2 linked regions of the Cricetulus griseus genome follow. The protein of the gene in region 1 interacts with the protein of each later gene in a biochemical or structural test. Links are inferred from orthologs where the notes say so. Each region holds a gene or a part of one and is shown on either strand. Other genes may lie near its edges.

What was found.
Region 2: the proteins of Npr2 (region 1) and Nppc form a complex in vitro, tested with the Homo sapiens proteins (3 studies listed by BioGRID). The link is inferred for Cricetulus griseus from reciprocal best matches to the Homo sapiens genes NPR2 and NPPC.

Annotation. Positions count from the first base shown.
Region 1 is NC_048595.1:99,893,179-99,900,953, reverse strand, and holds the start of Npr2 (atrial natriuretic peptide receptor 2), read left to right. Parts: upstream 1-2,538; 5' UTR 2,539-3,313; coding exon 3,314-3,980; intron 3,981-4,701; coding exon 4,702-4,907; intron 4,908-7,775. UniProt on the Homo sapiens protein: Receptor for the C-type natriuretic peptide NPPC/CNP hormone. Has guanylate cyclase activity upon binding of its ligand. May play a role in the regulation of skeletal growth.
Region 2 is NC_048595.1:438,340,275-438,346,285, forward strand, and holds Nppc (C-type natriuretic peptide), read right to left. Parts: upstream 3,356-6,011; coding exon 3,266-3,355; intron 2,873-3,265; coding exon 2,582-2,872; downstream 1-2,581.

The DNA of each region.
Region 1 (7,775 bases):
AAAAAGGGCTGGAGAGATAGCTCAGAAGTTAAGAGCACTATCTGCTCTTCCAGAGGTCCTGAGTTCAATTCCCAGCAACCACATGGTGGTTCCCAACCATCTGTTATGAGATCTGGTGCCCTCTGCTGATGTGCAGATATACCTGGAAGCAGAATGTTATATACATAATAAATAAATAAATAAAATCTTAAAAAATCCTCTAAAAATTTTGTGAGCATCATATCCAGTGAGAGATTCTGTCTCAAAAACTTAAGTGGAGAGAGAGGACAACTTGTGTGGACCTCTGTTTTGTTTTTTGTTTTGTATGCGCACATATATAAACACACCCGTGAAAACACACCACAATGTATACACAATAAAATGAATAACATTAAAAATCCCATTAAATAATTTAACTTTTGTGTCTGGCCCCTTTAACTGTCTAGCATACACAGCCCATTGAAAGGAAGAAAGAGGGACTTGGTGAAACTTGAACGTTTAACCCTTGAGATAATGTCTGATCCAAAATACTGAGAAAAATTACACAACCCTGCTGGTACTTTCTGGGTGACTGATGGTTGTTCCTCACGGGGATTTGCAGACATAGCCCTGAAAGACTGTCTGGGTCTTGGTGGCCACGACACCGCAAAGAGCCTCACCTTAGGAAGCAGGGAACCACGGTTCCAGTTTCTGCCCCACTACTGAAAAGCCATTTGGAATTAGCGGGAAGGGAATCGCGGCTGTGTGACATATCTCTTGGAGACTATTTTTGATTATTTCTAAATAAGAAGTTTGGAGCCATTCTACCTCTGGCGTTCTGTGAGTCGTCAAAGTTGTGTCATTTTTAAACCTTCTCTCATGAGAACAATGATTTGGCTGGCTGGTCTGGAGTTAGAAGAATGTCCGTATTGTGGTACACACATGTCACTCCATCTAGGAGACTGAGGCAAGAGCCTCATGAGTTAGAGGGCAGCCTGAATTATGCATGGGACCCTGTTCTAAATGAGTAAATAAATGAGAGTTAAGAGCCATTTTCTTGGAGATATGCTCTTGCTACTTAGCTCCGGCTGTCTCTGAACTCACTATGTAGCCTCGGCTACTCAAATTCATGATCATTCTGCTCCAGTCCTCCCAGTCCTGAAATGACAGGCCTGAGAGTCAAGTCTTTTTCATATTGTCACATCACCGTTGTGACTGTGATTCTTTTTCTTGCCCAGATAGAAGATGATTGCTTTTCACCAGCAGTGTTGGCAGCCTGGAACAAGAGTTCTCTTCCCTTGGTGTTAAAGAGAAAGTGTTGCCCATAGGCTTCTATTTGTATTGATCTTCAGGCAGGGGAACTTGTCCCTGGGGCTTGCCTACTGCCTCTGTGTTCACTTTGTGGACCAGGGTTTTCAGTTGTATGCCCCCAGAGGTAAGGGTTGAAACAATTAGCTTCTTTCGCGCTGGTGCCTAAAGCAGTCAGAGCGCATGCCTTTGAATAAAATGACCCTTTCCTTACATTTCTACCCGAGCCACTAGGTGTCGCCTTCATCTCAGAGAAAGTGTGTTGGTCCTCAGCCTGCAGTCACTCCCTCTCTGCTGGGGAGCTTCTAGCTTCTTGGCACTGTGAATTCTGGAGAAGAGGCTCCAAGGGGGAGAGAAATTGGCTGTCAGCACGGAGGAGAATGTGTTTATGTGCATGTCCTTTATGACAATTTGAGAACTCCCCAAGGTCCCATAGGAGTCCCCTCAGCAATGATGTCATCCCTCACAAGCTGTTCCTCCAGATGGGGTCAGCACTCCAGATGTGGGGTACCTGGGTGAACTTTCTAGTCAGGAATCTTAGGAATGGGGTGGAAAACAAGGTGGGGTACAATGGGCCTTCATTGCTGGGGTCTGTTAGGCTTAGTCAATCTATACACTTCTGTCAAGTGTGGCTCAGGGAGACAAAAGGACGAGGCCCTGGAACAGATGGCTGGTGAATCCAATAGGCGTGAAAGTACGGCCATGGAGACAGAAACAGAGTGGGGAGTCGAGTCCTCGGTAAGAGGAAGACTTCATAAAGACTCTAGAAGAATGTAGAGGTGCCACAAGGGCCTGCCTGTCTTTCGGCTGCCTGAGGAAGAGGTCCCCAGCGTTTAGGAGATTGGTAGAGATTTCCCTACCTAGGAATAGATAAACGGATACCCAATGCTTGGGGATTCCTGACAGCTTCCTGGAGACTGGAGCGTCTGGGGAAATTTGGTTGAGCGAATGGACCCCAAGAAAAGCGGGGTGTCCATCCGGACAGGGAGAAGACAGGCCCAGGGGTCCCCGGCACGCGTGAGGTGGAAGCAGCCCTGCGGACAAGGGACTTGGGGGACTCCCGGGAACCTCGGTGGCCTAGAGGCCCGGGTGCGAAGCCCTCGGGGCGCTCACCGAGTGGTTTGGGGCCTGGGAGGTCCCTGGGCGCCGGGCAGGGGTGGGGGGGAGGCAGCAGCAGCCGGAAGGTGGGGCCGGGCGGGGAAGGGAGGGGAGAGGGAGGGCGGGGTCGGGCGGCCTGCCGGGGAAGTCACACTCGGCCGCCGCCGCGGGCGCAGGGAGCGGAGACGCGCCGGGCCGAGGCGACCTGACCTGGACGAGCGGCGCGCGCGGGGGCCCAGGCGGGGGGCGGGAGGCAGCGCGGGACGCCGGGCCGGGAGAAGCGGAGCCGAGCGAGAGGAGCTGGGGACACGGGCGGGGCCGCCGCAGCTCCGGATGGGACCAGCGCCCGGGCCCGTTAGTCCAGGCAGGAGCTTCGGGAGAAGCCGTCACTGGGAGAGTCACCCCGGCCTTTCTCTGCCCTCTGGCCCAGGCCTCGCTTCGCTCCCTGCCTGCCCATGTCCCAATCCTTCCGCGGCGGGCGCCCTCCCACCTCAGCCCGGGGCTCCAGCTTTTCTCAGCTCTTTGCCCTCCCGGCCCGGTCAGCTGTGAGGTGCCCCCAGGCCGTTTCTTTGTACCAGCCTCCCCCAAGTCCCCACCCCATCCCAGGCTTAGATCCCCCCCTTCTCGGCTTGGGATTGTCAGGCCACTTCACCCCTCACTGTCCTCATCCCGGTCGCAGGCCCCCTTGGTCCCTCCCTCCTTCTGCCACCCTACCCTTAGTCCATGGTCCTTGCTGTAGGCTGGTAGCCCACTCCTTCCCGGCCCAGGCTTCCCCCCACCCCCTTCTTGCGTGGTCCCCAACTCTTTCTGTATCCGAGTCGACTAAGCTTGTCCCCACTTCTCTTCTCGGCCCTCTTCCCCAGGCTCCAGGCTGGGTGGTGCTTGTGCCTGCCCAGTAGGCCAGAGCGGCCCCTGGTTCGGGGGGCCGTGGGTCAGCTGCGCTATCCCCATGGCACTGCCATCACTGTTGCTGGTGGTGGCAGCCCTGGCAGGTGGGGTGCGTCCTCCGGGGGCGCGGAACCTGACGCTGGCGGTGGTGCTGCCAGAACACAACCTGAGCTATGCCTGGGCCTGGCCCCGGGTGGGTCCTGCCGTGGCACTGGCTGTGGAGGCACTGGGCCGGGCATTGCCCGTGGACCTGCGGTTTGTCAGCTCCGAACTAGACGGCGCCTGCTCTGAGTACCTGGCACCACTGCGCGCTGTGGACCTCAAGCTGTACCATGACCCCGACCTTCTGTTGGGCCCCGGTTGTGTGTACCCTGCTGCCTCTGTGGCTCGGTTTGCCTCACACTGGCACCTTCCCCTCCTGACTGCGGGTGCAGTGGCCTCTGGTTTTGCAGCTAAGAATGAGCATTATCGTACCCTGGTTCGCACTGGCCCCTCTGCTCCCAAGCTGGGTGAGTTTGTAGTGACATTGCACGGGCACTTCAATTGGACTGCTCGAGCTGCCTTGCTGTATCTGGATGCTCGAACAGATGACCGGCCCCACTACTTCACCATCGAGGGCGTCTTTGAGGCCCTGCAGGGCAGCAACCTCAGTGTGCAGCACCAGGTGTATGCCCGAGAGCCAGGTGGCCCTGAGCAAGCCACTCACTTCATCAGAGCCAACGGGCGCAGTAAGTGTGGCCCCCGGGCTGTTTTAGGAACTGGGGAGGAGGGCCAATGTGTCCCTGGAGCACAGCACAGAAAAGTAGAGAGAGATAGGCACGGACAAGTCATGTGTAATGGTTGGGATGGAGGAACTTACGAAAACAGAGCACCTGGGAGAGGGCCTGGGTTTGGACAGAGCCTTAGTATCATAGGTACAGATCGGCAAGGCTGGGACTTGGGGAGTGAAGAGTTTGGGGAAGCAATGTGGGTGCTTTGAGTAGTGGATATGGGTGATATCTGCTCTGAAATGTGCACCTGTTTGTGAGCAGAGACTCCTTAGACTGGTGCACCAAGGTATCCTTGTAGCACAGAGATGACTCCGTGGGTTTGGGGCTCTGCAGACTTGGTTGGGAAAGCAGACAAAGCTCACACAAAAATTGTGAGCACAGTGCCTGTGAGCCACGGGAGAGGCAGGTGGGAGAGGAACGTGGGGAGCTGTGAGATGGAGCTCTGGGGAAAGGAGTCACCACTCCGTTCTCTGAGGTCTGGAGTCGGGCTCTGACTTTTGCCAGATGGTCCATGTGGCCCAAGGGCACTTTATGACATGAGCTCCAAGGGGGAGGATGGGAACATCTGTTGGGTGGTCGATAGGTAGGGCACTCTCTTGTAATGGGATGATACAGAACGGGGGCTGGTGGGGGACCTGGGCGTTGTCTCAGAGTGCCCTTCTGTCATGTGCACTCCCAGTTGTGTATATCTGCGGCCCTCTGGAGATGCTGCACGAGATCCTGCTTCAGGCCCAGAGGGAGAACCTGACCAATGGGGACTATGTCTTCTTTTACCTTGATGTCTTTGGGGAGAGTCTCCGAGCAGGCCCCACACGTGCAACAGGCCGGCCATGGCAGGACAATCGAACTCAGGAACAGGCCCAGGCCCTCAGAGAGGCCTTTCAGGTATCTTTGGAACCCAAACCAGAAATGGGGAGAGGCACTGGTTGGAAGGTCTTTCTCTCACAAGACCACAGAAGCTCAGGAACAGGGCAGGACTTGGGAGCTATGGAAGGGAAGTGATCAGAAAGTTTCTATGCCTGGTGTCACTCTTTTTTACCAGGGTATGTGACTGTCACTTAGTGTGCATGCCAAGGCTGACTGCCCCCTCCAGATCTTAGGGTGCTTTCCTGAGTGCCAGCAGTGAGCCAAAATGCAGGAAGCAAATGATCTGAGCCTTGCCTTATGGGAGAGGCAAGGTGAAATTATAGCACAGTAAGTGAGGACACAAATTTGGGCATGAAGCAGATATCAGGATCAGTGATTAAGGGATGAAGGGTAGATATGGGCTGGGATGAGGAAAGTCTTTAAAGGAATTTAGACTGTTGTAATTTTCATGGCAGAAGCCATGTTCACGGAGTGGTGGGATAAGGATCTAGAAGCCCATGCAAGGGAAAGGTAAGAGTTTACATGTTTGGCCTGGTAAGAAAGGAGGGTTCACTTAAAAAAAATGTTTTTGAGACAGGGTTTCACTCATGCCTTGAGCTGGCAGCCCCAGCCTTCCCACTGGGATCTCAGACATGGACTTCAAAAAAAAAAAAAAAAAGTCCACTTAAAGCACTCCTAGGAAATAAGTGACAAAGACAGATTAAAAGGGTGTTGGCCGTTAAGGAATAGGATTTGAGTTTTTATTTATTTATTTTGGTTTTTCAAGACAGGTTTTCTCTGTGGCTTTGGAGCCTTTCCTGGAACTTGCTCTGTAGACCAGGCTGGTCTCAAACTCACAGAGATCTGCCTGCTTCTGCCTCCCAAGTGCTGGGATTAAAGGTGTGTGCCACCAACGCCCAACTGGATTTGAGTTTTTGTATGACAGTAAAGTATAACATAGTCCAGGTTGTGTTAGAAGAGGAGATGGACTGTAGGCTGTCAGGGAATGAGGAGATATGGCTTGAAGCAGGACTATGCTAGGAAGAATGGAAAGAGATGAATTTATAAAAGAACTCGTGGAGAAAGTCGGTGTTGCCATGCATTTCCCACTTCTGCCCCAAACTTTCAACAGCCTGCTCCCTACAGAATAAAATCCCAACTCCTAACCATGACACTTAAGCCCTGGTAGCTTGCTCTCTGCTATCGTTGCAGAAGTCCAGCTGACCCACCCCTTGCCAGCCCAGGCTCCCTAACCTCCTGCCTCTGCGTGATTTGCTCCTTTTGTCTGCATCTTGTTTTTCTCCTTCCCTCGTTCTGAACCTTCTTCCTGAGATCATGGTCATGAGTCTCTGTCTGGTTCCCTCACCAGTTCTTACTGATTTGTGTATATAAGTGTTTCCTATTTATTTATCCATAGCCCTCAAAGAGTATTTGAGGTGGCTTATGGAATGACCTTAAGATCCTTTCCACTGAGATTCTTTGGTTCTAAGCAGAGTATACAAGGGCTGGGCCTGGGTGGCCATTCTTCTCCAGTGAGTAAGTTTTATGTGGCTGTGATTATATATTTGGTTGTGACTGGTGAGCACTCACTGTGAATGACATATCTGTTTGCATGCCTGCCTATGAGTCTGTGACTGTCATACTTGAACATGGGCAGTGATAGGACAGCTTTTGTTTATGTTGTAACTTTTTCCAAAAACAACCATCTCACCTGTGTCTATATAATGATTCCATGTTCTGTAATTCTCAGAGCAGTATTTTGCCTACTAAGGAACGATTCCTAAATCCCAGCTTGAGCTGAGTTTCTTACTCAGCCCACTATAGAGCACATTACTTAGTTCATGTTCGAGTCCCTTAGAGACCAGTTAGTTCATTGCTAGTATTCCCTGAATGTCACCTAACTCAGTACTGGTATGCAATACAGAACATACTAGGACTACTCTCTGTCTTTTTGGAGTTTACAATTAGTAGGCACGACAGACAAGAAACAAGCCTATTCATTGTTGATAAGGGTTACCAGAAGAAGAAAAACAGTTGAGTGGCATGAGAAGAAAAGGGACTGAACCTTGGCTAGTTCAGAAAAGGCTGGTCTACACCTTCCCTGGATCCTTACTCTATAGTCCTCTGGGTATGAATTTTTTTTGTTTTGTTTTTTCCTTTGAGTTCTGGTGTTTAAACTAGGGCCTTATGTACGCTAGACAAGTGCTCCATCACTGCACTACATCATCATTCTCCAGTTGTAGTCTTTGTGCGAGAGGAAAACCTTTTCCTTGTATGAGAATTACCAGCAGCCAAGAGACCCCAGGACTTAGAGTAGAGGAATAAAGGTCTAGTCAGCTAACAGCTATATCAGTTAATTAATTCTTGGTTCCTACCCTCACTGTAGGCCTCGTTCAGACAGGAAAAAAAGAAAGGATTTTGTTACGACTTAAGATAAAGGAAACAGGCAGGGAAGGATAAGCCGAAGGGAGACCAAGGCTTGGGGTGGGTGGGAGTGAGGCATTTTCAGGAAAAGCTTCTCCCATTCATTTCCAGAACTGACAGAGGGGAGGGCAGCATGGAGGTCTGTGGTCAGGTCTGGATGAACAAAGAGCTGTGAGCTTTTCCTTCAGAGATGCTGGTTCACTTGGGTCTCAGACCAAGCCAACCCCGAAAAGATGGTAGATGAGGCATAAGTCCTTGGCTGTAGATGTCCAGAGCCTTTGTAAGCAGCTGGAACATCCAAGGCAAAGATGCCGGCACAGTCTGGGTATCAGTCACTGAGGGGAGGGAAAGAACTGAACTTAAGTATATTGATAGGAATCTTCTTTCCCTTTCACTCCTTGCTGTTGCAGGGCAAGGGTTGTGTAGCAGATATTTAATACATATGTATTGAGTCCAATTAATCTGTATGTAGGGAAGATAGGC
Region 2 (6,011 bases), about 340 Mb from region 1:
ATTTTTGCTATACAACAAACCCTCAGACAGTTGTTTTCATCTGGTTTTGTATCTGCTTGGCCATGTAGGCACAGAGAAAAGCATATCTCAAAGTGTGTGTGTGTGTGTGTCCTATTCTGGGCTCAAATCCTTCCTTGGATTTGACTTCCTGGATGGCCCTGAGTAGCTTTGAGCTCACCCATAAAATGGATAATAGCCACCTCTCAGAGCTGGCGCTAGGATTCAACAAAGGGCTACATATTAAGCACGGGCAGTGTCTGGGTCAGAGCTACCAAGCAGCGAAGAGCACTTCCTTTCCTAGCTAGCTTTGTCTCAGGAATTGGTTGTTTCAATGTCCCCTTTTGTAGCAGGTGAATTGGTGTCTAACACCAGCCCAGGCAAATGAACAGCCATGTTGGATTGGTGGGTTTGAAGGATGAGAATAAGGTGATGAGCGCTGTACCCAGTCCCTACTAATGGCTGTTTGAGTGCTCTGTGTTCTGAATAAAGGCAGACATGCAGGGCACTCTTAAATGACAGCATTCACAAAGGGATCTGGCTGTAATGGTCTGGGCAACTCTCCCTAACTCATTTCTCTGTCTGTTTCAAGTGTGATGTTCCTGGGGCCCAGAGGCAAAGTGTCTGTTGAGGCCTTGGCCACACCCGAGTCTCTGTCAATAGTATAATCAAAACCTATAACCATCAGCGACAGTCATTATGATGGTGCTTGGAGCCAAAGTCAACCTCTGAGTGGAGACATGGTCACAGGCTTGGGAGTTTTTATCAGTAGAAGAACGAGCCTTGTATTCTTCCTTAAGAACAGGTGCTCTCACTGGTCAGTCCCATCAGAAGACTGCATGGTTTGGAAATGTGACCTCTCTGCCCTTTCACTGGGCATGGGGTAGAGAAGGCTACCGGTTGTTCATTTATGCCAAGAGAACTTGTAGGAGGCTGCTGACCTTCCCTGGTCAAAGGGGGTGCAGAAGCCTTAAATGTCTCGATTTTCCATCCTTAGCGTTTCTCACCACCCTGTGCCCACAGATGCCCAAGACTAAACCCAAGGCATCTTCAGGGAAGCTCATCCCAGGCACTAACTCTAAAGTCCATTCTTCAGACTTCATCTCTTAGGTATTCACACAGTACAGAGCAAAAGGCATCACAATGGCAGCATCAAGGCTTGCCGGTAGGTACCAGAATCACCTCTCTCCCTGAATGAAAGAGAGCAGAGATTCCCAACAGCCTGCAGAATGGGGGTGAAGTAATGCGGCCTGCTCAAGACTGGGTACAGAGAGGAGAGGGCTAGTTGAGGTCTAGAGCCGGGGCGCTGTGTGGAGCTGCTGAACTGGGGCGTGTGTTTCTCTGGTCATTGACCAATATTTCAAGATCCTTTCTGGGTATGGTGTGGGTTCCCGAGGGTCTGTCCCTTAAGTTAATATGGGACCCAAACACGTTCATAACGTGCTGTTCTTCTGGGAAGGTCTCTCATGCTGTGAAGAAGGTTCCTGCTACCCCCTATTCCCTATGGGGAAAGACTGGCCACTGGCCTCTGGGTTGGGGAGAGCAGCCTCTCCACCCCTGGGGTGAGACAGACAGGGTATGGGGCAAACAATGGCAGCTGGTGAGTAGGAGCCAAAGCTAGGAAGCAGTAGGGGCCTGCTTGCTCCGTCCTTTCACATGCTCAGGGATGGAGAGAGGGAGGAGATTCAGAAGGGTCTTTGTAGTAAGTCACAGAGTAGCCTCAGGTGGGCATGTTGGTAAGATGAAAGTTTCCATGCTGAGTGGAGGGATGGGGACAGGGTTGGTAAAAACCTCATTTAGGATACACTGAGTTTGAGGTTAGCGCAAGAAATAAGACTTAGCTTGTTCCTTTGCCTCTCTTGAAACAGGGTCACAAGCCCCAAGGTTCCTCTCGGAAGCCCCAGGGCTGCAGCATCAGGACCCTGGATAGACCAGTTTGCCCACAGTTGGGTTTAGAGCAGGGGTAAGATTCAGAATGCCCGAGGCAGAATGGTGTCTTGCTGCTGCCCACAGAGGCTCTTCTCTCCACTGTGAGGAGCAGGCATAGCTGCATGCCGGCCTCACTTCAGGGACATTGGGCTCAGAAAGGTGTCCTGGCACTTGACGTTCTGGCTGTCTGCAGAGCTGCAGATAAACTTACTCCGGGCTGGTGGAACACCTTTCCCTTTTTTTTTTTTTTCCAGGGTCTCTCTAACAATTTCCCAGTTGGCTGAGTTGGGGCTAACATTGCTAGCTAGTCTGTAGTTCAGGGTGGGGTTGGGGACTGCGTCTACATAAGCCTGTTTATGCCTTTCTAGAGGAAGCCAGATGGGGTCCTCTAAGCTGAACCCGATCTTTGACCTTGCCCATATACTCTGACCACTTCATTTTCTTAATCTGTAAAATGGAATAAGTGAGGTAGCAGACAAATGTTTAGCTTACACTTGATCCCATGTCCGGATTGGTTGGGGGAAGGCCACAGAACACAAGGAGGAAACCAAACAGCCTAAGCTAGATGGTAGTAGGGCTAGGTTCTCCCTGGTGCAGAGCGAGGCGATCTGGAAGAGTCCCATGGTGTTACTCACCGCCGCCAGGGGTCGCTGCACTAACATCCCAGACCGCTCATGGAGCCGATCCGGTCCAGCTTGAGGCCAAAGCAGCCTTTGGACAAGCCCTTCTTGTTGCCGCCTTTGTATTTGCGCGCGTTGGGGTGCTCGTGCAGAAGGCGGGCCCAAGCAGCCCGGGACTTGGTGTCCACACGCAGGTCCCGGAGCAGTCGCGATCGGTCTCCCTTGAGATTGGCGCCCCCGCCGCCTGGAGTCTTGTCACCCTTTTTCTGATTGCCACCAGCTGCCTGGGGCTCCGCTAGCTCCTCCCCAGGAGGGGTTCGCGGGACCTGTCGGAGAAAAAGAGTGGGCAGGTGAAAGAGTGCACGGATGTAACGCAGGTGACTTTTGCTGGCTCCAGAGTGGCGTGACCCTCCCCAGCCGTGAGCGCGCCCCCACGGTTGCGGGAGAGCTGAGTCCGGCATCCACCTGCCACGCAGCCCTTGCTCCTGCTCCTTGAGGGGGGGGGGGAGCTTGCCCTTTCTGTGCCGCTTGTCCTGCTGGGCACATTAGGGCACGGGAGATGTGCATGGCATTCTCCTGAAGCTGAGGAATGATTCAGAGAAGTCCTAGCTTTGAGGGCACAAGTCCGAGGGATCTGCCTTTCCGGGCTCTCTGCTCCCTCCTGCGCGCCGCATCCTCTCACGCCCCTCACAAGTCCAGCTTCCCGCAACAGTACTCACCTTCGGTGGCGTCCCGGGCTTGGCTTCGGAGGACCGGAGTGAGAGTAGCGTGAGCAGCAGGGCACAGGCGATCAGCTGGGAGAGGTGCATGGTGCCGATGGGGCCGAGGGGTACAGACGGTCTGCAGCCCGGACGGCCGGTGAGCAGTCCGACAGGCGGATGCGGAGCAGGCTGGCTAGGCGAGCGCAGGTCCCACTGCTGCACGGCGCCGGCTGGGTGCGCTCTGAGTCCGTGGCTCGGTTGGTGCCTTTATAATCCAACCTGCCGCTGATGTCATCTTCCCGCCCACCCGGCCGCCAGGGCCAATGGCACAGCGCACGCGGCCGAATCGACGGCCAGGAGGGGGGCGCGGGGGCTCCCCCTTCTGCTCCCACCCACATCCCACCTCCAAAGGATCCCGCGGCTCGGCCGACCGGCTGCGCTCAGAGCCACAAAGCGGCGCGCACAAGGGAACTCCATTTGTAGAATGCCCTCGCTCTGGGCTTCTAGGCGTCCAGCGCGCTGTGTACCGGCTGGGTCGTCACTGCGCGCACTGTTCCTGGTATGCATCTGTACTAGTCTTGCAGGTGCAAAGGCTTAGAAGAAATGTCCCTTATGCAAAATTACGCAGGTAGAAAGTTGGTGCAGACCGAAATCCAAGTAGATTGCCCTGTTTCCAAACTCTTCATTAACGCCTGACACGTGCTAGCCAGGGTGGAAGGGCTGACCTCCTCCACACAAGGCCCTTGCACTGGGGTCGAAGAGGATGGAGTCTAGAGATTCCCAGTGGGAGAGCTTGTCGGGTGTAGCTGTAAAGGGAGATGTAAGCCTCCAGTACCAACCAGTACTCACCAGTGCAAGGATGTCATCAATCCATGTGTATGAGCCAGGAATTCGTGTGTGTGTGTGTGTGTGTGTGTGTGTGTGTGTGTGTGTGTGTGTGTGTGGGCGATGGAGAGGCGTTAGGAGGCTAGGAGGCAGGTGGACTTCCTTCAATGGTGTACTGACTCTGCCTGCAGGTGGGGATGTCCACTTTAGTGTCCTGGACACCATAAGAAACTATAGGCAGCACTGGGGTTTGCCCAGCTCCAAGCCTCAACAGGCCATCATGGCCATTGAGTTTGGGGCTGTGGAGAATTGCCTGCTGGCTATGGACACCAGACTGCTGCACACAATTTCTCTCCTTGGCCTGGAATCTTGATCCCTCAGACTCAGGGGAGCCCTGTAACGTAGCAGCCTCCAGAGAGCTTGTAGTCTCAAAATTTGAGTGATGGGCAGGAGTTTGTGTCCTTTGTGCGGAACAGGACTCAAGCTTGAGAGAGGAAAAGGAACATTCACAGGGATCTGCCTTTCCGGGTGCCTGTGGTCTCTAGAAGGGAAGAACCCTGAGGAGGGATTTGGGAGGCAGGAGCCAGAGTTAGTGTTTTACAGAAAGATGGAGGTGGAGGGCAGTGGGAAGACTGCTGGGCGACCATAGGTCTGGAGAACAAATGTTCTGGAAGGTACAGAGGAAGCAAGGGCATAGTGTTTGCCTTGTTCTTCCTTGTCCGTTCCCAACATGGCACCCCAAAGTCCCCAAATGAGGACCACAAGCTCCGTCCAGCCTTTCGTTTAGGAAAAGACTCACGGTGAAACCTGATTTGGGTTAGTATGTATCTATATACTAGATAGACATATCTATCACCTGGAGAAAGATCTAGACATCAGCTTCAAGTCCTTTCAGTCCTGGAAGATTGGCTGCCCACCTCCATGCTCCTCCCACACATGGCCTTTTGATGTTAATACTTATGAAATGACAGCCCAACTGCATTTGAGAAGGGAAGAGAAGCAAGGAAGGCGAGGGTGACACCCTCACTCCCGTGTGGAACTACATCCTACACTCCACTCTCCATCTCATCAAGGGAAATTTTTAAAAATTGTGTGTGTGTGTGTGTGTGTGTGTGTGTGTGTGTGTGTAGGCATATGTGTACTCTTGTGCACATGTGGAGGTCAGAGGACAACTTTCAGGAGTCAGTTCTCTTCTTCCATCCTGAGGAAGCCTGGGGATGGAACTCAGGCTTCCAAGAGGCAAGTATCTTTACACTATAAGCCGTTTCACTGACCCTGCAAGTGACTCTTTTGATGACCTGTGGCTCTTGAGCTGTGGTCATTTACGGTAGACCCTTGATGAGTTAACTTTGGGCTAGGCTTCCCTGTAGCCTCCATTGCTACTACTGTTGCAGGAACTGGGTGGACAGGCAGCTAGTCTGCAGGGTCTTTGGGGCAGGGTGGTGATGAGTACATAAGTGCTTACAGACCAAAGGTTTCATGCTCCTCATGGCTTCTCTTCTGGGCCTAGATTTGGGATCTTAGCTCCCTTTCTCTGGGAAATCCACTTTTCCTTCCTTCGACTCCAGGGACTTGGTGGAGGTGAGGGAGCAGTGGGGTCGACCACTGAGCAGCTGAAATGAATTCCTCAGGTATAGTACTGGCTCCTCAGTGTTAAAAATTTCCCCAGGGGCTGGAGAGATGACTCAGCAGTTAGGGCCATGTATTGCTCTTGCAGACAACCTGAGGTTGGTCCCTAGCACATGGTTGAGGGGGGAACCTCACAACCACTTGTAACTCTAGCTCCAGGGAACCCAATGCCTTCTTTTGACCTCTGCGGGCAACCGTGCTCATGTGCACATACCCGCACACAGACACAGACTTGTACACATAATTGATGATTAAAAAAAGCTCCCAATAAACAAAAGTCCTCAATTCCTCTTGACTCAAAGGAGGGAGG